3 linked regions of the Arabidopsis thaliana genome follow. The protein of the gene in region 2 purifies or fractionates together with the protein of the main gene of each other region. This does not show direct contact. Each region holds a gene or a part of one and is shown on either strand. Other genes may lie near its edges.

What was found. The genes of interacting proteins can lie anywhere in the genome.
Region 1: the proteins of AT5G45620 (region 2) and AT5G26360 fractionate together in Arabidopsis thaliana (co-fractionation; one large-scale study listed by BioGRID). This does not show direct contact.
Region 3: the proteins of AT5G45620 (region 2) and PAE2 fractionate together in Arabidopsis thaliana (co-fractionation; one large-scale study listed by BioGRID). This does not show direct contact.

Annotation. Positions count from the first base shown.
Region 1 is NC_003076.8:9,252,900-9,261,759, reverse strand, and holds AT5G26360 (TCP-1/cpn60 chaperonin family protein), read left to right. Parts: upstream 1-2,731; 5' UTR 2,732-2,868; coding exon 2,869-2,893; intron 2,894-2,987; coding exon 2,988-3,049; intron 3,050-3,140; coding exon 3,141-3,213; intron 3,214-3,513; coding exon 3,514-3,581; intron 3,582-3,661; coding exon 3,662-3,731; intron 3,732-3,926; coding exon 3,927-3,995; intron 3,996-4,076; coding exon 4,077-4,148; intron 4,149-4,263; coding exon 4,264-4,337; intron 4,338-4,628; coding exon 4,629-5,291; intron 5,292-5,367; coding exon 5,368-5,493; intron 5,494-5,639; coding exon 5,640-5,744; intron 5,745-5,845; coding exon 5,846-5,920; intron 5,921-6,013; coding exon 6,014-6,199; 3' UTR 6,200-6,707; downstream 6,708-8,860. Other genes in the region: PWD (chloroplastidic phosphoglucan, water dikinase (ATGWD3)), read right to left, coding at 2-180. UniProt on the Arabidopsis thaliana protein: Molecular chaperone; assists the folding of proteins upon ATP hydrolysis. Known to play a role, in vitro, in the folding of actin and tubulin.
Region 2 is NC_003076.8:18,496,853-18,505,108, forward strand, and holds AT5G45620 (Proteasome component (PCI) domain protein), read left to right. Parts: upstream 1-4,633; 5' UTR 4,634-4,737; coding exon 4,738-4,887; intron 4,888-5,181; coding exon 5,182-5,628; intron 5,629-5,826; coding exon 5,827-5,907; intron 5,908-6,102; coding exon 6,103-6,299; intron 6,300-6,392; coding exon 6,393-6,492; coding exon of another isoform or gene 6,493-6,570; exon of another isoform or gene 6,571-6,830; coding exon 6,831-7,016; 3' UTR 7,017-7,292; downstream 7,293-8,256. Other genes in the region: SUV2 (protein dimerization), read right to left, coding at 1-87, 179-336, 443-549, 631-771, 894-976, 1,084-1,152, 1,239-1,525, 1,636-1,709 and 3 more. UniProt on the Arabidopsis thaliana protein: Acts as a regulatory subunit of the 26S proteasome which is involved in the ATP-dependent degradation of ubiquitinated proteins.
Region 3 is NC_003074.8:4,761,545-4,768,762, reverse strand, and holds PAE2 (20S proteasome alpha subunit E2), read right to left. Parts: upstream 4,740-7,218; 5' UTR 4,540-4,739; intron 4,437-4,539; 5' UTR 4,400-4,436; coding exon 4,386-4,399; intron 4,254-4,385; coding exon 4,172-4,253; intron 3,980-4,171; coding exon 3,899-3,979; intron 3,607-3,898; coding exon 3,493-3,606; intron 3,399-3,492; coding exon 3,297-3,398; intron 2,986-3,296; coding exon 2,927-2,985; intron 2,831-2,926; coding exon 2,728-2,830; intron 2,634-2,727; coding exon 2,568-2,633; intron 2,475-2,567; coding exon 2,382-2,474; 3' UTR 2,154-2,381; downstream 1-2,153. Other genes in the region: ATPMEPCRC (pectinesterase family protein), read left to right, coding at 1-1,088, 1,176-1,858; AT3G14280 (LL-diaminopimelate aminotransferase), read left to right, coding at 6,477-6,641, 6,757-6,881, 6,974-7,109. UniProt on the Arabidopsis thaliana protein: The proteasome is a multicatalytic proteinase complex which is characterized by its ability to cleave peptides with Arg, Phe, Tyr, Leu, and Glu adjacent to the leaving group at neutral or slightly basic pH.

The sequences.
Region 1 (8,860 bases), 9.2 Mb from region 2:
CATGGTGGAAGAAGAAGTAGCAGTGCAAGTGAGACGAGAATTGGAGTTTCTGAGTCGGTGAGATTGGTGGCTGAGATTAACTCTGTGAGTGATGTTAACGAGTCTAGGAAGTGATGATGATGAGTTTCTAGTGATGAAGGTGAAAGGAGAGCTGCAACAATGGCTGCCAATGCTCTCCATTGGAGGTGGTGTGATAAGAGATTTTTTTGTTTGTGTTCAGTCTTCAAAGTATCAAAGCCAGTAACAATCAATTATAGAGAGTTTCGCTTTTTCCTATGGGGAAATTGCCAAAATCACATGTCCATAAAATATCTTCTAAATATGATTTTTATTGATTATTTAATATTTTTGAAAGAATAAATAAAAATATTTAACTCTTCTTCAATCTTAAACCATTCTTTTCGTAAAAAATACGTAAAGATAGATCAATCATAAATGTCCTAGGAATAAGATACGTATTAGGTAATGTTTTTCTTTTGAAATTAAAATAAAAGTATTTATATATATATTTTTGATGCACTTTTTGATCAAAAATCTCTCTAATATTTACTAATAACATATGAGTTTTTATAAATTCTATCTCAACCAAAATGTTATATTCTTAAAAATTTACAAATCGTTAATTTGCATTAAATACTTGAATTAACTATTTTCTTTATTTCTTTTTTAGTCCCTACAAAATTTATCTAAAAATATTTTATTTTAAATTTAAATCTTTAATTAATTTTTATATTTATTAAATTACATTCAATTAATTGCTAATTTCCTAAAATCTATATATCTACATTAATAATAAATATATGATTTTTCTTTCATTTTTATTTGTTCTTATATCTAATTTATTTTTATTTGATATATATAATACATATAGTTAAAAATATATTAGTTTTTTCTGCATATGAGGTAATTCAAAATTTTAAAAACACACATATACTACTCAATCGATGAAGAAAAAAAATAAGTAGAAAAAATCCCACATTACTTTAAAAAATTGAGTAATAGTTCAGAGTCATACATGGCTTTCAAAGCAAAAACTATAGCCTACATAACAAGGTTCAACACAACCTGATTACAAAGAATTCTATAAAACAAAGATGGGCCTATTTCTTTGATCACACTGTGTCTTAGTAAAAACTAAGAGTCTCAAAGTCTGTAATCTGAAAAATCAAAGGAAGAAAAATTCAGGGAAACGAAACAAACACAAATGAGAAATCAAATAAATTAGCGAACCAAATTACAAAAACCTAAAACAGGAGGGAAAGCACTTACTCTTGTTATAAGAAGTAGACTTGACAAAAATAATCTTAAAAGGAAAAGATGATAACACTGAAGAGTTTGGAACAACTTTCTGACGGGAGATGGATTAGGTCGAGGGAGATTATACTATTAACAGAGGAAAAAAACCAAAAAAAACTCCATTTATTTTTAATTTGTTCATACCTGCGTTATTTAATTTGGCCGTTTAATACCTAAGTTAATTTTTATGTTCATTAAAAACCTTCATTTTTTTAAATTTTGGCAAAATCAGACATGCGAGTTAACGGGCGTTAACAATGGTAACGGAATCGCTAACCGCAGTTAAAACTTAACCATATAATGTTTACTATTTATATACAATTTGTTTTCTAATAGTTATGATCATATTATCTTAGTCCCAGTGGTTTTGAGAGAGATTATCATCCTCATCAGTTCGAGATCGATTCTCATCTCCAACAAATTTTTTGATTTTTTTTTTTAACAAAAGGCAAAATCTCAGTAATCCGAGTTACGATTTTGAATTTGATTCTGAGACTTTCTTTTGTTTAGCACCACGTTTGTTAGATCTGCTTCAATTCGATTTTGAGAACGAGCTAAATTAGATTCCTTCATCTCTTCAATTCATATTAAGGTTTTCAATTTCTAGATCGATTGATATGAATAAGTCAGCAAAGATTGCATATTCCCAGTTTTTGCTGATATTTTGCGTTGAAAAATCCAGACTTTGTTTTTCATTGTTAGTAACGTTGATAGCTTATAGAAAGATTATGTTACCATTAATTGCATCTGTTGATAACAAATAAGATCGATTATCACAAATCTATGTTGTATTAATTGGTCTAACATTTGGGACTTTTGGTTGGTGATTGATTTTGGTGCAATATCCTTTGGAGAAAGAAGTGAAGCAACACACAAGTGCAAAGCCTGTTGAAGTGAAAGAGATGGCTGACTTCGATTTTGCCTTTTTGTTAAAAAAAAAAGAAAAAAAATCAAAAAAAATTTTGGAGATGATAATCGATTTTGAATCGATGATGATGGTAATCTCTCTCATAACCACTCGACTAAAATAATATGTTCATAATTATTAGAAAACAAATTGTATATAAATAGTAAACATTATATGGTTAAGTTTTAACTACAGTTAGCGATTTCGTTACCACTGTTAACGCCCGTTAACTCGGATGTCTGATTTTGCTAAAATTAAAAAAAAAAAAAAGGTTTTCAATAAACATAAAAATTAACTTAAATATTAAACAGGTAAATTAAATAACGCATGTATTAAACGGACAAATTAAAAATAAATGAAGTATTTTTTGTATTTTTTCCCTCTTAACAAATTAGGTTAACAATTCTCCCGTTCTCACGCATCTTTACCTAATCTTCCGGATATAAAAATACTATTACTTTGTTTTGATCTTACAAAAAGGCCCAATGTGTGAAATATTAGTTAATGGGCCTTAGGGATGGGCTTCTCAACCTAAAATGAAAAGCACGAGAGAGGATGAAAGAAATCGGAGAAGGCAGTAGGATCTTCCACTTGCCGCTCTTTGAAAATCACTCGCCGTGTCTCTCTAAGCTTCTTCTTCACTGTGAAAACCTCAGATCGCAAATATGCACGCACCGGTACTCGTTCTGAGTGAGTATCTCCATCTTCCTCCAGATCTCATTTCCTCTAAATCGATATTAGTTTTTTGGTAACGAGATTAACTCCTTTTGTGAAAATGGTTTAGGCGATTCGTTGAAGCGTGAATCTGGAAGTAAGGTTCATCATGGTAATATCCAAGCTTCCAAGGTAAATTAATCCTTTTCTATGGCTCTTTTTCTCTGTGATGCTTGTTGCTTCTCTCCTCTGGTTTCAGATCATCGTTGTTTTTGTGGTACAGGCTGTTGCTGATATCATTCGTACAACATTGGGTCCTCGTTCTATGTTGAAGATGCTTCTTGATGCTGGTGGAGGTCTTTTTCTAAACACTTCCTCTTTTTTTTAGGCTTTTCATATCTCTGTATGTGGGTAGTAGATCTCTGTAGTGAGGGAATTAGGTTTAGTGTTTTTAGCTTTGGAAATGTTTTTCTTATGTACTCGTTCTTTGTTGAAGCTATTGTTCTTCAGTTTCGGTGTTAGTTTTATATAAACCCTAAATCAATATTTGGGTTCTGTTTGTCTTGTTTTTTTTTTTTTTCTGTCTACCTTTAATTTTTCTTAATCTGTGTGTTATCATCATATCTTACCCCTCTTTGTTTCTTGGATCTTTACAGGGATTGTTGTTACTAATGATGGGAATGCTATTCTTCGTGAGCTAGATGTCGCTCATCCTGCAGCTAAGGTTTTACTTCTGACCTTTCTCTATCTATTGTTCTTGTTAAAATTGTTTTACTTATCCATTTTTGACTCTGGTGATTGCAGTCAATGATTGAGTTGAGCCGTACGCAAGATGAAGAAGTTGGTGATGGGACAACGTCTGTTATTGTTCTAGGTACGAACATTCTTTTTTGCTAACAAATAGTTTGTCAATGGCTTGGTTTGGACCAGTTTTAATGTATTTTTAACTAAAGCACAAACAAATTACTTAAGGATATTATGGGTGCTGCAGTATTCAGTTCAACATCATGATCTCTGTTTATAATCATGGGTTCTTGAAGTCCTCTTTTTGTTTGCTTTTTGCCAACAGCTGGTGAAATGCTTCACGTTGCAGAAGCGTTTCTTGAGAAGAATTACCATCCCACAGTCATATGCCGAGGTATGCTGGCACTATGAATTGCTTATTGTTGTCATGTTACACATGTCGTTTTCATCTTAACGAATGCATTCTTCTCTGCAGCTTACATCAAGGCTCTCGAAGATTCTATTGCTGTTCTTGACAAAATTGCTATGTCAATTGATATCAATGACCGTAAGTCCATTTCTACCTTGTATTTGTTCATTTGGAGTTGACCTTCAGCTACTTTGGTTTCTGAAGTTAGTTTTTCTTTCACGTTTGTACTGATGGAAGAATGTGTGAGTTGCAGGTTCACAAGTGCTAGGATTAGTCAAGAGCTGCATAGGGACAAAGTTCACTAGCCAATTTGGAGATCTTATTGCGGTAAGTACCGTAATTACAGTAGCTTCTTACTTATGCATTACCAGTCCAGGTTTTATTGCTCCTTAATATATATTGGATATGTCTAGACAAGTAGGTATAGATACAGCATACATCTTGAAGTGACTTTTTAAATGTAAGATGAGTAACCATGAAATAACTTGAATTTGATGACTGCTTTCTTCAATTCTTTTGGTGGTTTTCGATTGTTGAAATACTTGTAGTATGAAGTTCTACAAGTTTGATTGTCGTTGGTACTCACATGATTTTATATGACTTTATGTACTGTTTTAGGATTTGGCTATTGATGCCACTACTACTGTTGGTGTTGATCTTGGACAAGGTTTGAGGGAGGTAGACATTAAAAAGTACATCAAGGTTGAGAAAGTTCCTGGTGGTCAGTTCGAGGACTCTGAGGTTCTTAAAGGAGTTATGTTTAACAAAGATGTTGTTGCTCCTGGTAAAATGAAAAGAAAGATTGTCAACCCACGGATTATTCTTCTTGACTGTCCTCTTGAGTACAAGAAAGGTGAAAATCAAACCAATGCTGAGTTGGTTAGAGAAGAGGACTGGGAAGTGTTGTTGAAGTTGGAAGAGGAATATATCGAGAACATTTGCGTTCAAATACTAAAGTTCAAGCCTGATTTGGTTATCACAGAGAAGGGTCTTAGTGACTTGGCCTGTCACTATTTCAGTAAAGCTGGGGTAAGTGCAATCCGAAGGTTGAGAAAAACTGACAACAACAGAATCGCCAAGGCTTGTGGAGCAGTAATTGTGAACAGGCCCGACGAACTGCAGGAGTCTGATATCGGTACTGGGGCTGGCTTGTTTGAGGTCAAGAAAATTGGAGATGATTTCTTTTCTTTCATTGTTGATTGCAAAGAACCCAAAGCCTGTACTGTACTCTTAAGGGGACCAAGTAAAGATTTCATCAATGAAGTGGAAAGAAATTTACAGGTTCGTTGGTGTTATTTACAAATCTGTATTTCTTAATCATTCATAACCTTATATGCCTGAAACATTGTCCCTACAGGATGCCATGTCTGTTGCAAGAAACATTATCAAAAACCCAAAGCTAGTTCCTGGTGGAGGAGCCACAGAGCTAACCGTTTCTGCCACATTAAAACAGAAGAGTGCAACAATTGAAGGCATAGAAAAGGTCGGTTTTGCTTTTATTACATTTTGTTTCCTTGCCTAAAGTTGTGTGATTTTGTGTCAAATCTATATCGAGCCTCTAAAACGAGTATGCTGTTCCCACGGTCGCTGATAAATGTTCTTTTGTTGGTCTGAATCTTATTTAAACAGTGGCCTTATGAAGCAGCTGCCATTGCTTTCGAGGCTATTCCACGTACCCTGGCTCAAAACTGTGGGGTTAACGTGATCCGTACTATGACTGCATTGCAAGGGAAGGTACTGTCCTGTACTAATGAACCCCAACTGCCATCTCTTGCCCGTTGTTTAAGTATATACCAACTCTTTTCTCAATGCTTCAATTGTCGGTTTTGGTGCAGCATGCAAATGGTGAAAACGCATGGACTGGTATTGACGGGAACACTGGTGCAATAGCTGATATGAAAGAGAGCAAGGTAAGGATTAAATCACATAACCTTGGTTGATTCTCACAACATGAAACCAATGTGACTCAGAGAGTTGACTAAAAGCTTTTAACAATTTTCCAGATATGGGATTCGTACAATGTGAAGGCGCAAACTTTCAAGACGGCTATAGAAGCAGCGTGTATGCTTCTAAGGATCGATGATATAGTGAGTGGAATCAAGAAGAAGCAAGCTCCTGGATCTGGACCTTCAAAGCCTACCATTGAGACAGAAGGAGATGCAGACAACGAACAAATTCTTCCCGACTAAGCGAAGGGAGAAACACTTTGGTCTCAGCATAACTCAATCTCTGTTTTCACTTGTTTAATGGTTGCACTCTTTTGGCTATTATCTTCCCTTGACATATCTTTTAATTCTGCAGTTTGACTTGGTGAGATAAGATTTTCGAGGGTGGTTTTTTTTTGTTTGTTTTGGAATATTAGCTTTTTTGAATTTTCGTAGTCACTTTGTTGGTTTTTAGAGTGCTAGTTGTTATTGTCTTTTTGAAATTTCTGGCACTAGAGACTTTTTTAGTTTGTGTCGTTTTTGTTTGAATATCATCAAGTATGTACTTCAACTGGATCTTTAGTTGACCGGTTAGTGTCAAATTGTGTTTTTGTTTGAACACCATTAATTGCATTTCAGACGTACGGATCTGTTATTTAGAGTTTTGGGTTATTATTCAGGTTGACTCGGTCCGAATTTATTTATACGGGTTGGTTTTGTTACTGAAAACCTTTAAACTTCGCTAGTTAAATGAAAATTGAAAGTTTAGTTATGTTGATCTTGATCTAATTTTACAGTAAACTAGAGGAAATACGGGCTACGCCCAAATTTATTTTAAAATTTTATTTCTGTTTTTTGTATTGTTTTTAGTTCATATATTTTTTTTTAAATTTGCTATATCTAAATAGAAAATTAGTTTGAATTACTTATATTTTTATATACTATCTATTTGTGTTATTTAAAATGAAACTGAATCACCTTTTATTTTTATTTTATTTTATTAAAGATGATTGTAATATAAATAGTTTTTCTTAACTCAAAATAAATGGGTTTGTTTTCACAAGACTTTTTTATTTTTTCATTTCTTTGAGGTTTTGTTTTGAATAATTATTGGATTTTCTTTTGTTGGGTTTAGTTCATTAGTTGGAATTATGTATAGTAAACGTATTAAACTCAATGGGTGGATAATTTGTAAAATTTATTTGTAAAAGCTAATTTTGTATTATTAGATTGGTAGCATATTGTTCAATTCTGCATATATACTAATCATTTATTAAATAAAAAAAGTTAATAGTTCTTATTATGTATAAAGATTCGTTAATATTTTCAAAATTAGTTATTTGTAATTAACGTAAATTTGATTTTTTGATTTTTTAATTAAAATAATGAATTACATTACCTTCTTTTTTGTCAACTAATAATTTATATTACCTAAATTTTATAAAAACTGTCATTGAAAAATTGGACTTTGTGATCTCAGAAATAAATTATAAAAATATTAAGTTTCTTTTATTTAGTTTTGTTAGTTTAAACCATTTTAATTGAAATCCAAGAAAAAAATAATATTTTATTTTAAGCATTTAATTTGCTTTTGTTTTTGAAGTAAAAAAATCAACACTTATTTTTTCTAGTAATATTTATTAAAACATTATTTATTTTTTGTTTTCTAAATTTTTTTTTAATAATTTGGTGACATTGCATTTAGAGAGAGTATTTAAAAGAAAATATGATGTGGCATCTCTAAAATGATTTTTGGAATGATGATGAGGATGACTTGAGAAGCCTCAAATTGTTTCTTTTATTAGCAGTAGATAATACTATTTTAATCATATACTATCGTTTTCTTATACATTTTATATGGGAAAAAACTCTAAAAAAACCTCATATATTTTTAATTTGCCCGTTTAATACTTCGGTTATTTAATTTGTCCGAACAATACCTAGGTTTATTTCTTTTCGCTTTAAAATCTTTCGTTTAGTTTTTGTTTGGAAAAATCAGCTTCTCGGGTTAACGACTGTTAACTTCGTTAACGGTGTGTCTAACTGAGGTTAATACTTAACCCCACGTGTTTTATTCGCCCAATATAAAGACACTGTTACCCTTAACGAAAACCCCCAAATCGATTTGTTATTATAAACCCTAGTTCTATTAGCTCTTCTTTACAAGAACTCTTCTTATTTCCAAAAATGATGAGCCAAAGTTCAGGGTCTGATGCGAATTCAATTAGCCGTAGCTGAGTCCTCTTTGCAATTGTGGTAGGGCAACGACAGTTACAAAGTCATGGACAAATGAAAATCCGGGTAGAAAATTTTTCAGATGTGGGACTCATGGCTTCATCAATTGGGCAGATGAGGAGAAGCCATTTGGTTGGCAAAAAGAGAGTTTATTGGAGGCTCGAGATGAGATTCGTCAACTGAAAGAGTCTTTGAGGTCAATGAAAGAATAGTTACCGAGTGGGTCAGGGTCTGCTACTAACGAGGATATGAAGAAGCACAAGGAAGAGAAGAATAAGCTTGAAGAGGAGAAGAAGAAGCTTGAGAAGGAGAAGAAGCAGCTTGAGGAGGAGAAGAAGCAGCTTGAGGAGGAGAAGAAGCAGCTTGAATTTGAAGTTATGGGTGCGAATGAGAGGGAAAAAGTGCTTAGGCAGTTGATTGTGTTGTCTTGGGGATGTTTCACTGTTGTCATTGCAATGTGTCTGGGAATGGGAAAGAAGTAGGCTTTGTAATAGGGAGTTATGGATGCTAGGAAGTTCTTTGCATTGTTTTATGGATGTTCTAATGCTAGTTGTTTTAGAAGTTCTTTGTTGTTTGCTGTGTTGTTGTTGTAAAACTCTTAAATCAATGGTAATATCCTACTTTCATTGAGTCAAAAGAGCCGAAAAATCAGAGTAAGGTCTAGATCCCACCCAAAAAAAATCGGGATCC
Region 2 (8,256 bases):
GTGACTTGAGAGTAGTTCATAGCCAGAGTTTCCTGAAGAAGCTGCTAGAGCCAAGATCATTATTACATTCCTACACAGTTCCAGATCCTGAAAATCAAATAAACCGAAAGCTGTGTTAAATAATCCAATTGCAGTACACTACTTAACACGAGGGTTTTTTTTCCGGTTTTTTAATTACCTCTGATGTCTTTCTGGGAGAAGTCAAACAATCTGCTAAGCCTTCAAAGATCTTACCAAATGCTTCCAAAGCAAAGAAATTTCCTTCACTATCGTTTTCAGTATCAGAGGAGTTCTTTTCCTCATGGAGAGAATCAAATGTATCGTATAGTTTAGGACCTTTGAACCGAAAATAAAGAATATATTAGAGAAGAAAGAAACGCAACTTTGGCGAAGATGGCTTCATCATAAAACCAAGAAATATGATCTTCAAGTAAGTACTTACAGTTGAGTAGCAAGTAAAAAAGATGAATAGCTTCTTTCCGTACATGTAAGCCACCTTCTTTTCTTAAAAGTAATGAAATGCTTTCAAACACTTCCTTGGAGACAAAACTGGCCAATGAAAAGAATTTAACGTTATATGAATGCAGATGTTCATATGAACAGACAAAGAAAACGGTTTTGAGTGCTTACCTTTCTCTAGCAGTATAAGCATCGGTGCTCATCACGATTATGTTCATTATCGACAATGCTTCCTGTTTCACATCCTGTTCGGTTCTTTTACTAGCAATTTGATTCATCAATTTAAACAGAGAATGCCAGTTTGCATCCCAACTAATAAGGGATCATGAAAAAAAAAATCATTACAATGATGATTTATGGTTAATGTAAGAATTTAGAGTAAAGAAATATTGGAGAAAGTTAGAGAACTAATCCCAGATAGAGAGAGTAGATACCTGGCTTCAAATCTCTTTTCATCACCACATATATGTTCCAACAGCACATGTAGTACACGCAGAGATCTATGAACAAGAACGGCCTGCACAACAGATGAATTAATCAAGTCACAAAAAAAGAGGAGAAATATAAAAAACATCCAGAAAGCTACAACTTGCAGATAAAGCTTTGAATCTCAATCCGACTTACAGTTTCCGCTTTACAAAGATCAAGTAGTGGTTCAACCAAGGTCTTCAAATTTACAAACCCATAGCTGATCTTCAGAAGACATAGGCGGTTCAATTAGATAGTCTGACCAATAACTTATACATCGACAAGTATAGTGTTTGAACTAAAAGCCACACCTTTGTTACTGCAGAGTATAATTGATACACTTTCTCAGATTCTAAGGCTTTAGAAGATTGTCTATCTGACGAGGTTTTGGCTTCCTGTTTGTTAAGTTCTTGAGGAGGCGTACTGATTTTCATAAAACTAAAGAGAATCTGGAGATCTGTTGAACAAGCCAGTAGCAACTCTGAGATTAGATTTTTCCTCGGATCTTGATAATTTGAGGTGCGCCAGATGTCTAGCAGTTTCTTTGAAAGGTCAGAATGATTGGCCACATCAGCCTGAACACCAGTGGTCTTGAAGCCTGACTTAAGCCAAAGCAAAAAATAATGAATAGACAACCAAGAAATTTTGAACAAAATAAAACTTTCAAAAGCGTCAAACTAATTATTGCCAATATCAACATTCACGTACTTCTTTTATCATCTAACGCCATCCTAGAGTCGTTTTCTCGATGATTTACTGAAGAAGTTGCGACATCTGGTTCCCTGTTTCACAAGACTTCTTAATTAGACCACAGTTGGTGATTTGCAACAGATAAGGAAAGTGCACGTAAGCTAATGAACGGTAAATTCAAATTCTCCAAACAGGAGATAAAAAGTGTGGGTAACCGCTTGCACCACAGTTACTCAACATTACAAAGAGTTTCACCTTCCAGCATTGCGATTCACTAATTAAATTTGGTAAAATTGATAAGAATGCAAAATCCTGCAAATGGTTGAACCCTATCATGATATATTCTACAAAACTAGATACATACTTAAAGGCTGCTAACTAAGAATTAGATCCAAGTACATCAAAAACAATCTAAAGATCCAATTTAGATGCGTCATTTCGCCTAACAAGAAGAGAACAACATTCACTCACAAGTCTATCCTCTTAGAAGCATGAACCGTAGAACATTGCCCTCTATTATCATCAGCACACAAGTTTCTAGACTCTGTTTCTTTGCTTTTCCCCTTCTTAAGCTGAGAACATTCTTGCTCCTGGAACAATCAAAGATAATTTCAACACTATATATACATGAAAATGGAAACTCCAATGAACTAAAAAACTCAAAGATATGAATATACCACATCCAGCAATTGCTTCGAGACACGTTCCAGCTCCTTCTGTTTAATCAAATACCACAAAGAACAATATGAGAAACTACATCTTTGTGATCACAGAGAACGCAATAATAAAACGAAACCCTAACCTTTAAGCGATCAATTTCGAGATCTTTCTCACTATCACAGCGACGATTCGAAGTAGTCGGAGAGATAGGTTTAGCAGCAGTAACAACAGTAGAGTTAGAGTAATCCATTAACGCGTCATTGAAACCGCTTACTACTCTTTGAGAGAGTTCTCTCGGCGGAGAATAGCTTAAGAAAGGATCAGGAACTTGAATTTGTTTCCGTTGTTGTCCCGCTGAGGATTGTAACTGCATAGGGTGAGATAAAGACGATGAAATCTTCGTCGATGGCGGAGGAGCCGGTAGAAACGTTGGAAGATACGGAGGAGGTAGGGGGCGATACATATCGGCTTTTTTCAGGGTGGTTTCGATTGAATCGATGGCGAGGAGAAATTCGTCGTTAAATTCTTCATCATTTCCACTCATTCTCTTTCTCTCTATCGCTCGAATGACTGATAGCGAGTGAGTGGGAAAAGAGGCGAAATCGAAATACCCATTTAGTGAGCAGTACGCCTGACACGAATTCGGATATCCGGAACAATTGTGATATTTGTTATTCGATTGGTTTTAACGGAATATCTGATTTTGTGATTTACTTTAATTCAAAAAAATTTGGATATCTGAATTTTTATGTGATATTTTCGAATATCCATTTTGATACTGACATATTGTACATGTAAATATTAAACAAGACTGTAAACTATATAACAATATCAGATATTCAAATTTTTCATTTAACATGCTTTCAAAATAAATTTTAAATAGCAAACATAACCGTTGTTGTTATCACCGGTCATCAAGTTGTTGTTATCACCGGTTATCAAAATGTTATCTAATTAATTCCAAAACATAACCTAATAGATTAAATTGTCATTGATCAAAACATAACATAAAAGAAAAATGAGCAAATAAACATCTTAACATGAAAACATAAGGTAACAACAATATACAAACTATTTATGATATCTATATTTACGGATCCATCGTAAATAATCATCTTTCGCTTTAAAGTTTTTGATGGAGCAGTCGGTAAAACTTAGGATCCAAAAAACTTTTTGTACTATTACTATTATTTATGGTTAAAATTCTCTTTTTCTTATTAACTTGATTTCTTTATGTGTTTTATATTATTTTTATAAATAATTGAAAATCATTTTTAAAATTTGCAATATTTTATTAATATTGTAAAATACCGTCATAATAAAAATTATTATGGTAAACCATAAATAAGATTATTTAGTAATCAAATGACATTGATCTAATATTTATATTTTTCTTTTCTGAAAAAAACTTTCTGGTTCGTTTCTGTTCCGGTTTTCAAAACTCTGTCCGGTCATGTGGAATGCTAAATTACAAATCCACCTTATTATAATTTAAATTACATAAATACCCCTTAAAACTCACATATTTATACTTTGGTCCCGGTAGTTCTCTTTTCTTTTTAAATTAAAGGATTATCTGCTTAGCAAAAAAGAAGAAGAGAAAAGGCAATGTTTTGAAACCCGACCCGGACGATGAACCGGACTACCTTCTGGGTCACCGGGTCACCGGGTCAACCGGGTTGGACCACGGGTTAATTAGTTAAAATTTATTTAATAAATTTAATATTAATAGAAAATTTAGAGTATTTTATAATAAAAAAATTTGTAGTATTTATAAATATAAAACAAAAATAATCATATCATATTTAATCAAATATAAAATTATATTATATTTAACAAAATATAAAATCATTTACACCCAAATATATATATATATATATAGAAAAAATCAAACAATAATAATAAAGTGGTTAAAAATTTGAAATCCAATAAATGTCTAACACCGTAACAAATATATTAGGAGATCATCAATGACATAAATAAATTAATAAAACATCGTGAATTAAAACAACTAATCTCGGTTGTCTCTCTCACCATTCGATTCAATTTTAAGGCGGTATTGTAAAGTCTTCAACAAAATCTAAAACATCAAATGAATTTAAGAACTGAAAAAACTTCTAAAAATAATTGAATAAAGTCTAAAATCCCATATTTTATTGTAAAATCAAGAGAACTTTTTAAAACCCACACCCGGCCGGTTCAACCGGTTCACCGGGTCACGGGTTAATTGCGAGTTTTTGTGGGTTTTTTCGGTTTTGAACTTGTTGGGTTTTAGCACTAAACCCAAACCGGAAAAGTGTTCGGGTTACGGGTTAACCGGTCGGACCGGACGGTTCGGGTCGGGCGTGAAAACACTGAGAAAAGGGTTTTTTAGGATTCTTTAAACGCAGAGCTGAGCTGAGTTACATAAGATCGAGAGAATTCGCAAACTCGTTTCTTCATTCGTCTTCGTCTTTCGCCATGGCTGCTCTACAATACTTGGAATCTCTGAAAAATACGCATCCAGAGCTCGGCGAATGGTACAATTCCCTTGCAGATCTGTATCAGAAAAAGCTCTGGCATCAACTCACCCTTAAGCTCGAACAGTTCATCGCTCTCGCTGTCTTTCAGGTACTTTTGCTTCTCCTCCGTAATACTAATTGGTTTCAATATCTATCTAGGTTTAGTAGTGGTCCTTGTGGATTTTAGGGTTCATAGATCTCGACAAATATCGTAGAATCTGTGTTTTTACTTCCGAATAACACGAGTTAGAGATCCGTTTGGAAGATGATAGGGTTTTCTCGGATTAAGTTCTTCGAAGAAAGTTAGGTTTTAGGGTTTATAGATCAATTTTGATTGCTTCCAAGTTTTTGTGTCTGATCTTAACCTGTGTCATTGTTATAATATAATTTTTTTTCATTTCAGGCTGGTGATGCTTTGATTCAGTTCTATCACAATTTCATCACTGACTTTGAGACGAAGATCAATCTTCTGAAGCTTGCGCATTTTGCTGTGGTGGTCTCTCGACAGTACTCTGAGAAAGAAGCTGCAGTTAGCTATCTTGAAAGCGTGATTGAGAAACTTAGAGCTACTAAAGAGCCTAGGATTACTGAACCAATCATTTATATTGAAACACAAAAAGCTTTATTCAAGCTTGAGCAAGGTGATCAGAAGGAGTGCAAAAAAATCTTGGACGATGGAAAGAGCTCTCTTGATAGTATGACTGACATTGATCCATCAGTCTATGCCAACTTCTATTGGGTGTCTTCTCAGTACCATAAGTGCCGTCAAGAATTTTCTGATTTCTACAAAAGTGCTCTGCTTTATCTTGCATACACGTCTGTGGAGGACCTTTCAGAATCGTTTAAGCTGGTATGCCCCTGTAATATTATGTACCTTGTTCTTATATTTTGTTCTTATGTTAAGTTTCCTGTTAGCGATAGTGGATAAGAGTATTCAGAAATTTGATGAAATTTAGAGGAAACTGAAGAAAAAAGTTGCGTACTAGTTAGCTTCCCTAGAGTCACCGATCAAATTTTGCTAATGTCAGATCATATCTGTGTCTTTCAGGATTTGGCTTTCGATTTGTCACTATCAGCTCTACTTGGGGAGAACATCTATAACTTTGGGGAACTGTTAGCCCATCCCATTGTAAGTTTTCCTTCATCCTCGACATAAACTACTGTTATATTTTCTTGTGTAGATAAAAGGCTTCTTGTTGATCTTTAATTGCTTGGATTTACGATAGATACTGTTTGTGAGTTGAGACGGCTTCTAACTCTCATGTTATAGTTTTGCTTAGAATTGTAGATGGTTCTCTTACATGTAGCATTTCTCTGATGACAGTTGAAAAGTCTCCTTGGAACAAATGTGGAATGGCTCTACCACATTCTACAGGCATTCAACCATGGTGATTTAGTTCAGTATCAAGAACTATGCCGTGTGCACAACGCATCCTTGATTGCTCAACCAGCACTTGTTGAGAACGAGAAGAAGCTTTTGGAAAAGATCAACATTCTCTGCCTTATCGAGATCATCTTCAGGTAAACTTTTCTCTAGGCAATTGTACCTCACGCCGTTTCAATCAAAGAAATAAAATCATGTGCTAATACATTTGATTTTAAACTCTACATCAGCCGACCCGCTGAAGATAGAACCATTCCTTTGAGCATCATCGCTGAGCGTACTAAACTTTCCATTGAAGATGTTGAGCACCTTCTCATGAAGAGCCTTTCTGTAAGTATTAGTATCTCCTTGCATTTTTCTCTCTTGTGTTCTTTTAGTACCCAAAAAACTCTGCAGCTTCCGGGTTAAAATCTGTTGTGGTGACCAAGGAAAGAGTTTGTCTGAGTGACCAACATAATGATACTGAACTACCTGTCATCTGATTAAGAACAACATAGTAAACATCACCATACGCATTGTATCTCTAGGTTTATGTATTTGCAGTTGTCGTCTTATTGCGTAATTTTGTTATAGAACTCAAATGATCTTGACTGGTTTTGTTCCTGACTTAGACATAGAATGATTGTGTATGCTTCTGTAGAATCTAAAGTGGAAAATGAATGATACAGGTGCATTTGATCGAGGGCATCATAGACCAAGTGAACGGAACAATTTATGTCTCATGGGCGCAACCGAGAGTACTAGGGATTCCACAGATCAAGGCTTTGAGGGATCAATTAGACAGTTGGGTTGACAAAGTTCACACCACTTTACTATCTGTTGAAGCCGAGACACCAGATCTTGTTGCAGCATAAGAGAAAAGAAAACCTTCTTCCTCCTTTTGAAGCTACTGAATGTAAAACACCATCTTCTCTGGGATTAGATTCAAGTTTTTTATTTCAGTCGTAGAAGAAATTACAATTGCTTTTTAATCTTTTGACTTCCATTTCAAGATGTCCGAAATTTCAGTTCTACATTTAGACTATTTTCATACATTTTTTCTTAAAACATGTCCTTGACAATCATTCATTATTCACATAACCATAACAAGTCAATCAGTTTATAGAAAAAGTCATCTGATAGGATCTAAACGTGGACTCACTCACTCTGAATAGTTGATTTGAGCCTAAAATTTGGGGATTCTCGCGGCTTCTGGCACTGGTCTCCGATTACGTCACTTCCCGATGATTTCATCTTGGACTCATAGCGCGTATACCAAGATTCAATTCCCAACAATCTCACTCCTTTCAAGGCGTTTCCGATCATTGTTACGTTGCACAGAACATTGTCTCTATGCACTCCTCATAACCCTGAAACACGTCACTACCGTTGGTATATTCTTTCTCCGACGCAATGGCTTTATCCTTATCGCTTCTCTTCCTCCTATGCCTGCTCATGGAAGCTATATTGCTTTAGGTTCAAAAGATTTACGTTTTTAGATGGCGTTTATGATTCCGGTGTGACTTCGAGAGTGTTAACCACTGTGGAGATGTGAATTCTAAGAAGTGAGAGTATATATGCGTGTGTCGTTGATGATGTATTGTACTACTAAATTTGTGCTCTAAACCATAACAGCTAGACATAATTCTAAATTTCATGTTATGGTAGGAAGATTGTTGATTTCATTGATCTAAAAGACTAAAAGTGAAAATGTATTATACTTTTGGTTTTGTGCATTGAGGGTCATCAGTTTAAGAAGCAAATGTGGACAAAAATTCTGCCATTCCATATCTCTTCATTATTAAAACTTTTCTAATTTTTTTATAACTAATATTTCAGAGTATGAAAATGAAATTCAAATTATTGTACACATTTAGGAATTCATATAAATAAATCAAATTACTAACGATTATAAAAAAAAAATCAATACAGAGTCGAATTTTTGAATGAATTCAAATATAATTGTCAATTAAAAAATAACTGTACTATCTCTAGATTTATTTATTCAACAGAACTTATAATTATAAGAATCCCGAAAGTAATTTTTGTGATCAAAATGGCAGAAACCACATGGCCATGAGTCGTCTTGTCTGTACGATGATTCACTCTTTTTCT
Region 3 (7,218 bases), on a different chromosome or scaffold from region 2:
GCTTAGCGCCGCCGTAACAGATCACGACACGTGTCTCGACGCACTTGATGAACTCAGCCAGAACAAAACAGAGTACGCGAATTCACCAATCTCACTAAAGCTTAAATCCGCCATGGTCAATTCCAGAAAGTTCACAAGCAACAGCTTAGCGATCATCGCGAAGTTTCCAATACACGAAAGACACGGAGTTCAGTCCCCGCGGCTTCGAAAGTCACCTCATCCAACACCGAGTTCAGTCCTCAGAACTGTGTGTAATGTAACTAATTACCCTGCTTCTTGTATCTCAAGCATCTCGAAGCTTCCATTATCCAAAACGACGACAGATCCGAAGGTTTTATTCAGGCTTTCGTTACAAGTTACATTCGACGAACTCAATTCCATCGTTGGTTTACCGAAGAAACTCGCGGAAGAGACTAATGATGAGGGACTCAAATCGGCGCTTAGTGTTTGCGCAGATGTGTTCGACCTCGCGGTTGATTCAGTTAACGATACTATTTCCTCCTTGGATGAAGTAATTAGTGGCGGGAAGAAGAATTTGAATTCGTCAACGATCGGCGATCTCATAACGTGGCTTAGCTCCGCCGTAACAGATATCGGGACGTGTGGCGACACGCTTGATGAAGATAACTACAACTCACCAATCCCACAGAAGCTTAAATCCGCCATGGTTAATTCCACAGAGTTCACAAGCAACAGCTTAGCCATCGTCGCGCAGGTTCTCAAAAAACCAAGCAAGTCTAGGATCCCGGTTCAGGGGAGACGGCTACTTAACTCGAATTCGTTTCCAAATTGGGTTAGACCAGGAGTGAGGCGGTTACTTCAAGCGAAGAACTTAACGCCTCATGTTACGGTGGCGGCGGATGGCTCCGGCGATGTGAGGACGGTGAATGAAGCGGTTTGGAGAGTTCCGAAGAAGGGGAAAACGATGTTTGTTATATACGTGAAAGCAGGTACGTATGTGGAGAATGTCCTTATGAAAAAGGATAAATGGAATGTGTTTATCTACGGCGACGGCAGGGATAAGACCATTATTTCCGGTAGCACTAACATGGTCGACGGGGTTCGTACTTTCAATACCTCCACGTTTGGTACCTCTCTCATCTTTCTTATTTATACTCTCTGCTTTTTTGAAGTAACATGGTCATTTTAAACACTTTTTAACTTGTTACGCGCAGCAACTGAAGGCAAAGGATTTATGATGAAGGACATGGGAATCATAAACACCGCCGGGCCAGAGAAGCATCAAGCGGTAGCATTCCGATCAGATTCCGATCGGTCAGTCTACTATCGATGTTCATTCGACGGCTACCAAGATACTCTTTATACTCACTCAAATCGACAATACTATCGTAACTGTGACGTCACCGGAACAGTTGATTTCATCTTCGGAGCTGGCACAGTCGTCTTCCAAGGCTGCAGCATCCGTCCGCGTCAGCCGCTTCCGAATCAGTTCAACACAATCACCGCTGAAGGTACACAAGAGGCCAATCAGAACACGGGAATATCGATCCACCAATGCACAATCTCTCCCAACGGAAATGTAACTGCTACGACGTATCTTGGCCGTCCGTGGAAATTGTTTTCGAAGACGGTTATTATGCAATCGGTGATTGGGTCGTTCGTGAATCCCGCTGGGTGGATTGCGTGGAATTCGACTTATGACCCGCCTCCACGTACTATATTCTATAGAGAGTACAAGAATTCAGGTCCTGGGTCGGATCTATCCAAGAGAGTTAAATGGGCTGGGTATAAGCCCATTTCGTCTGATGATGAGGCTGCAAGGTTTACGGTTAAGTATTTTCTCCGAGGGGATGATAATTGGATTCCAAAGGCGGTTATGGGAATGCCCCCTCTGTAAACTTAATCACTTATTATTTGTTTTCTTAAGTTTTCAATTATTATTATTTTTTCTATAGATTTAGCTAAAGATATGTTTAAAAAATACAATATATTCTTTTGTAACCTCAAAGAAATATATTTTATTTTTTTAAAGATTTAGCTAAAGATAGGTTTTCACGATCAGCGCTTCTCTTAATGGGGTTTGGGTTAAATTCAGTGAGGGTGGTTATATAGATAATAAATATATAATTATCTTATAATTGAGATTTTTTTTCCGACGTACAATGATGATATGTACATAATAGATTTCAACTTTCAAGTTCTGATTTTTTCTTTTGGACAGATATTTATTAGTTTTAACTTCTTGTTGAAAACGACAAAAAAATGTAGATAGAAAGCTCAATAAAACTCAACTCGATAAAATCCATTATCTGATTAAACGAAACTAATTTTTGGTTTAGAGAACCGGAAGCAGACAGAAGCCTGATAAATTACCGAACAGACAAGGTAAGATAACAGGAAGAGAATGGCGGTTTATTTCTTCATAGACGACTGATGACGGCTTCAACCTCCTGAGGAGTGTAGAGGTGATAAGCTGGTGCGACTTTGGCAATGTCGACATTGTTTGGAGTCACCTAAACCAGAAAAGTAGAGAGTATCAAAAAGGGCTAAACCGGAGAGGGATTTAATGGGATTTTTAATAAACAAACTTGTAATCAATTGAATACCTTTTCTTCCATTACTTGCTTTAGGATAGATACAGCTATTGTTTCAGCTTCTTGAAGAGTTATATCCTGTAAGAGTTGTGAAATTGGAGTTCAAGGAAACTTCAAAAGAAATAGATTCTGTAATGCGCTTGGGACAGTGAAACAATCACGTTATTAGTACCTTGTTGAATTGCTCTTGGAGAGAACTATCAGCTCCTTCTGAGCCAGACCCAATTGCCTTTGCATTGCATTGCCAGAATGTTCCCGATGGATCTGTGTAGTACCTATACAGGATTGAGTTGTTTAACATTTGTTGTTTACCAATTTGAGATCATCTACACAGTTGGAAAATGATATAAGCGAAATGAATAACAACTTACAGGCTCGGTCCATTTTCATCATGCCCAGCAATGAGAAGGGATACTCCAAATGGACGAGACTGCAAAAAGTTTGTGAGACCGAGCATAAGTACATTCATATAAAAAGGAGACAGTAAAGAACCAAAGAATATTTGCTAAAACATTATGGAAGATTAGGGATTGTTATAGTGGTGGTTCCTAAAGAGTTATATCTATTAATTCACAACAAAAATTTAAAACCCCAATCTAAGGGTTTATCTCTGATAATTGATCATAATTTCCAAGCAGAAAGAAGAGAAATCCACTAAACATTGCCTATGCTATAAAGGTAATAGAGCGATTACTACCATTGACTCTTCCTATGCTATAAAGGTAATAGAGCGATTACTACCATTGACTCTTCCTCTCCTTCACCAAACCGTAAAGCAAGATCACACAAAGCTTGTGTTGTAGATTCTACAGTCATTGGCTCACCATACGAGAACCTGTGGTTCTGCTCAACATAATAAAACCAGTTGGTAACAGAAAGAACTTTTGATGTAAAAACAAATCCATGAGAAACAGAAAGTCAGAAACTGAGATCTCACCTGGGTCTCTACTCGTGCATGCTCAACAAGTGTTCGCGCGTCAGCAATCAGACCACTCATAGCACAACCTATATGGTCATCAATTTCCATAATCTTCTCAACACTACTCGGCTCCTACTTAAAAGATAAAAAAGAGACTGAGAAAGTAGTTACCATCATAGGGTAAACTCAAAAAGGTATTACAAATTCATACTAATATTACCTTTCAGATTCTATCACTCATGCCAATTCAAGACTAAATTTGTAGCATAATGTGCGTGTACCAAAATCATAAAGGCACGGAAATAGTAAAGCAAAGAAAACTTCTTAGATACTAACAAATCAACCAGATGGAAACTGCTAAACATAACAAATGTTAATAAAACAGTGGAGTCACACGGAGAAGATACAAGGAGAGAAACTATACCAGTAAAGGCGAAGTAATACGCTTCTCGACTGCAAGAACAACTCCCTCTTTCGTCTTTACACCAATAGCAGTAGAACCAAGCTGCAATCAAACCATAACAAACCCATCAATGGATACAAAAAGGGCATGCCCAATCTATTGTCTACTCCCCAACAAAGCACACTAACACAATAATGGATTAAGTAACCAAATTCGTTTAAGCAAACAAAGAAACATCCCAACTTTACTAGATTCTAGAGAAGCTATTAGCAGCTAGAGTAATCTATAAATTACCTTGATAGCTTCAATGGCATACTCAACCTGAAAGAGACGACCTTCAGGAGAAAATGTATTGACTCCTCTGTCATACTCAGTCCTTAAGAACAAAAAAAAAAAAAAAAAAAAACTTGATCAATACAAGCACCATAATCGTTGGATTCGAAGTTTTCCCAGAAACGGTGATACACGATTCTGAAGAAATCGAAGGAAGAAATGCTCAATTTTGTACCTAGTGAGAAACATCTTCTTCTCGATTTCGATCTGAGATAAACCTCAATGTCTGCACAAAAGTTATTAAACCCTAAAAACATTACAGATCGAATGAAAAAAATAGGAAACGATTCAAGTAACTAAGAACTTGTATGGATGCAAAAAAACTTTACCAGCTGAGAATTGATCTACGAATCGAAGAAACAAACTCTTCCCAGTTCCTTTTTAGCTCCCGTAGACAAGCACTCTTGAGTAACAAGTTAGACTTTGATTAACACTTGGGCTGTTAATGGGCCTAAATATCTTATCAAACGGGCCTTAACTTAAGTCTAATATGAGAAGCATACGCCATTAAACGGACCTTCAATTAGGCTACTGTATACTTCTTGACCAAATCTTTTAGCCTAAACCCATTACTTTAACTCGTAGACGTATGTTTCTAGTATTTGTTAATTATAAAATAAGTGATGATGAAGATAATGTTAAATAATTTCTGTATCAAATTTTATAATCAAACTTGCTTATATTAAATTTGGAGATCGTACGATATTGATAAGTTAGGCCACCACTCCGCGATGATATAAGTGGACGACGATCTAGAAAATTAATAAAAACTTTGGTGACGTATTTAACCTCCCAACCTCCTGAAACAGAGACCACAAAATATTTGATTATAGTTTTTCATTCAATGTACTACAATTTATATACTATCGACTCGGGTGATCGATCTAAACATTCTCTATCGAAATTATAATTTAAATTTGGTTTAACCGACAGAAAAAAATGGATTTTGGAAGTCTTTTTAAAAATTGTTAAAAGCGATTTTGGAAGTTTTGCTCCAACATTTTGTGACCAACCCTTCTAATCTATGGTTCCACCATTTATATGTATTTTTGGTTAAAAATGTTCATAAACTATTATAAGGATTCCAAAGTTGCTGATGACTCAGAAACTTGTATAAATCTGTTGTATTATTCTTTTAACAAAACAAAATAAAGATTCGCAAGAGTTTAATTAATTTGGTGGAGGAATATTCGTTGTTATTATAGTATTGTTTTGCATTTCTTTAGTAATCAAACCAGCGAAATAAATATCATTGCTCGGAGCCTCTGACTCGAACGTACCTTATTGTGGTTAAGAAGAGACAGCTTTTTTCCCGAGAAACTGTACGACGATGTCTCCATGTTTAGCCTACAATTAGTCTCTTGTCTAAATCATAGCAATAATATAACACCAATTATTGTCATTTTGCAATTAAAAATGCTCCTAAAAGCTTATCATGACGCTTGATATATCGACACGTGCCACGGTTTAATTAAGTAGGAGTTAATTCGTCATTGGACGGCAGATAAGCACTGTAACAACTAATTTGCTCGATGTTTAGTTTTTCTTTTACTCTAATATTAATATTATCTCAACATAACGAAAAAATTGGTTGAATGCAAGTGCAACTAATAGCACGCAAGTTTTTGAAATTAATGTAATGACAGATTAATTGTTTCGATGGAAGGTCAAATGTCTTTTTTACCTTTTTAGGTCAGAAGGAAGGTAAAATGTCTTAAGTCTATAAACTATTTCAGTTGGGGAATTATTTGTTTTTGTCTCATATTATTTTGTCAAAGAATCGGGTTATAAAACTCATTTTGTTTCTCAAATATAAGTGTTACAGAATCTAAGTAGTTTTCTTAGTAATATTTTTTAAACATTAACGGAGTAAGAAATCCCAATAATAGTTTTATAAAAATTTATGTAATAAAAATACACCTGACTAGACATACACATGTATATGTGTAGATATATTCAACGATTTCACATTGACGTTCATCAAAAATCAAACGTAAGAAGAAAAACGAAACCATTAGAAGAACTAACCAAACCCCACGAAAAAGACAACCAAACTTGTTAATGAGATTGCCACTCTTATTGGCTATTATTTTATCTTCACCTTGCGTCTATATATAATTGACTTAAAAAAAAATCTTAATTAAACTCAGATTCAATCAATCATCGGAATTTATAATTTTCTTCTCTGAGAACTATAAACCAAACGAGTTGTCCAAAAAGAAGAGATCAAAGTTTCTTCTTGAAGAAAGAAAGAAACACAAAAGCTATGGCATATTCAACTAAACTTTATCTTCCTCTTAAAACACCATGTTTTGTTCCAAAGACAGTAAGAGCAAAGACTTTGATGCTTCAACAGAGTCAAGTTCATGTTAAAGTCAAGAAAGCCACAGTTTCACAGCCTCAGCCGATCAGATACTCCACCAAGAACATTGTAAGATCATCTCTCTCTTTTTGTTTCTCCTTAGAGTGGATCATAATTTTCTTGAAAATTCAGACACAACCATTTGGTAAAAATATGAATGTTGAAATTGTTTTTCTTGGAACAGGTTTTTGAAGATCCGATACAAGGGATCATCTGTTACACAGATGATAATGGAGAGGTTATATGTGAAGGATACGATGAAGGTCCTCGTTGTCCCACACAGAGTCCAATGGTAGCTTCTTACTCAAGGTATGATATATTCCTAATCCTAACCTAAATTCTTAATCAGATCGATCTTGTTTCAAAGTTTGTTTTATAAATGGATTTGGTATCAAAAACAGAGAGGTGGAGATTCTTGATCTTCTGCAAAGAAGTTATCAGGAGCTGAGCGATTCAAACAAGGATGGTCAAAGACCGATAATTGCTTCAGAACAAGAGTTCATGATGATCAAATGGAGCAGCTTTGACTTCCTCTAAATCCCCTTTCTTTTTTCTTCATCGAAACATCAAAATCTGGTTCTCTCTTCAAAAAGGCCTCTTGAATAAGAATGTACAGAAAAAAGGCTATGAAAGAAGCAGCGATTTG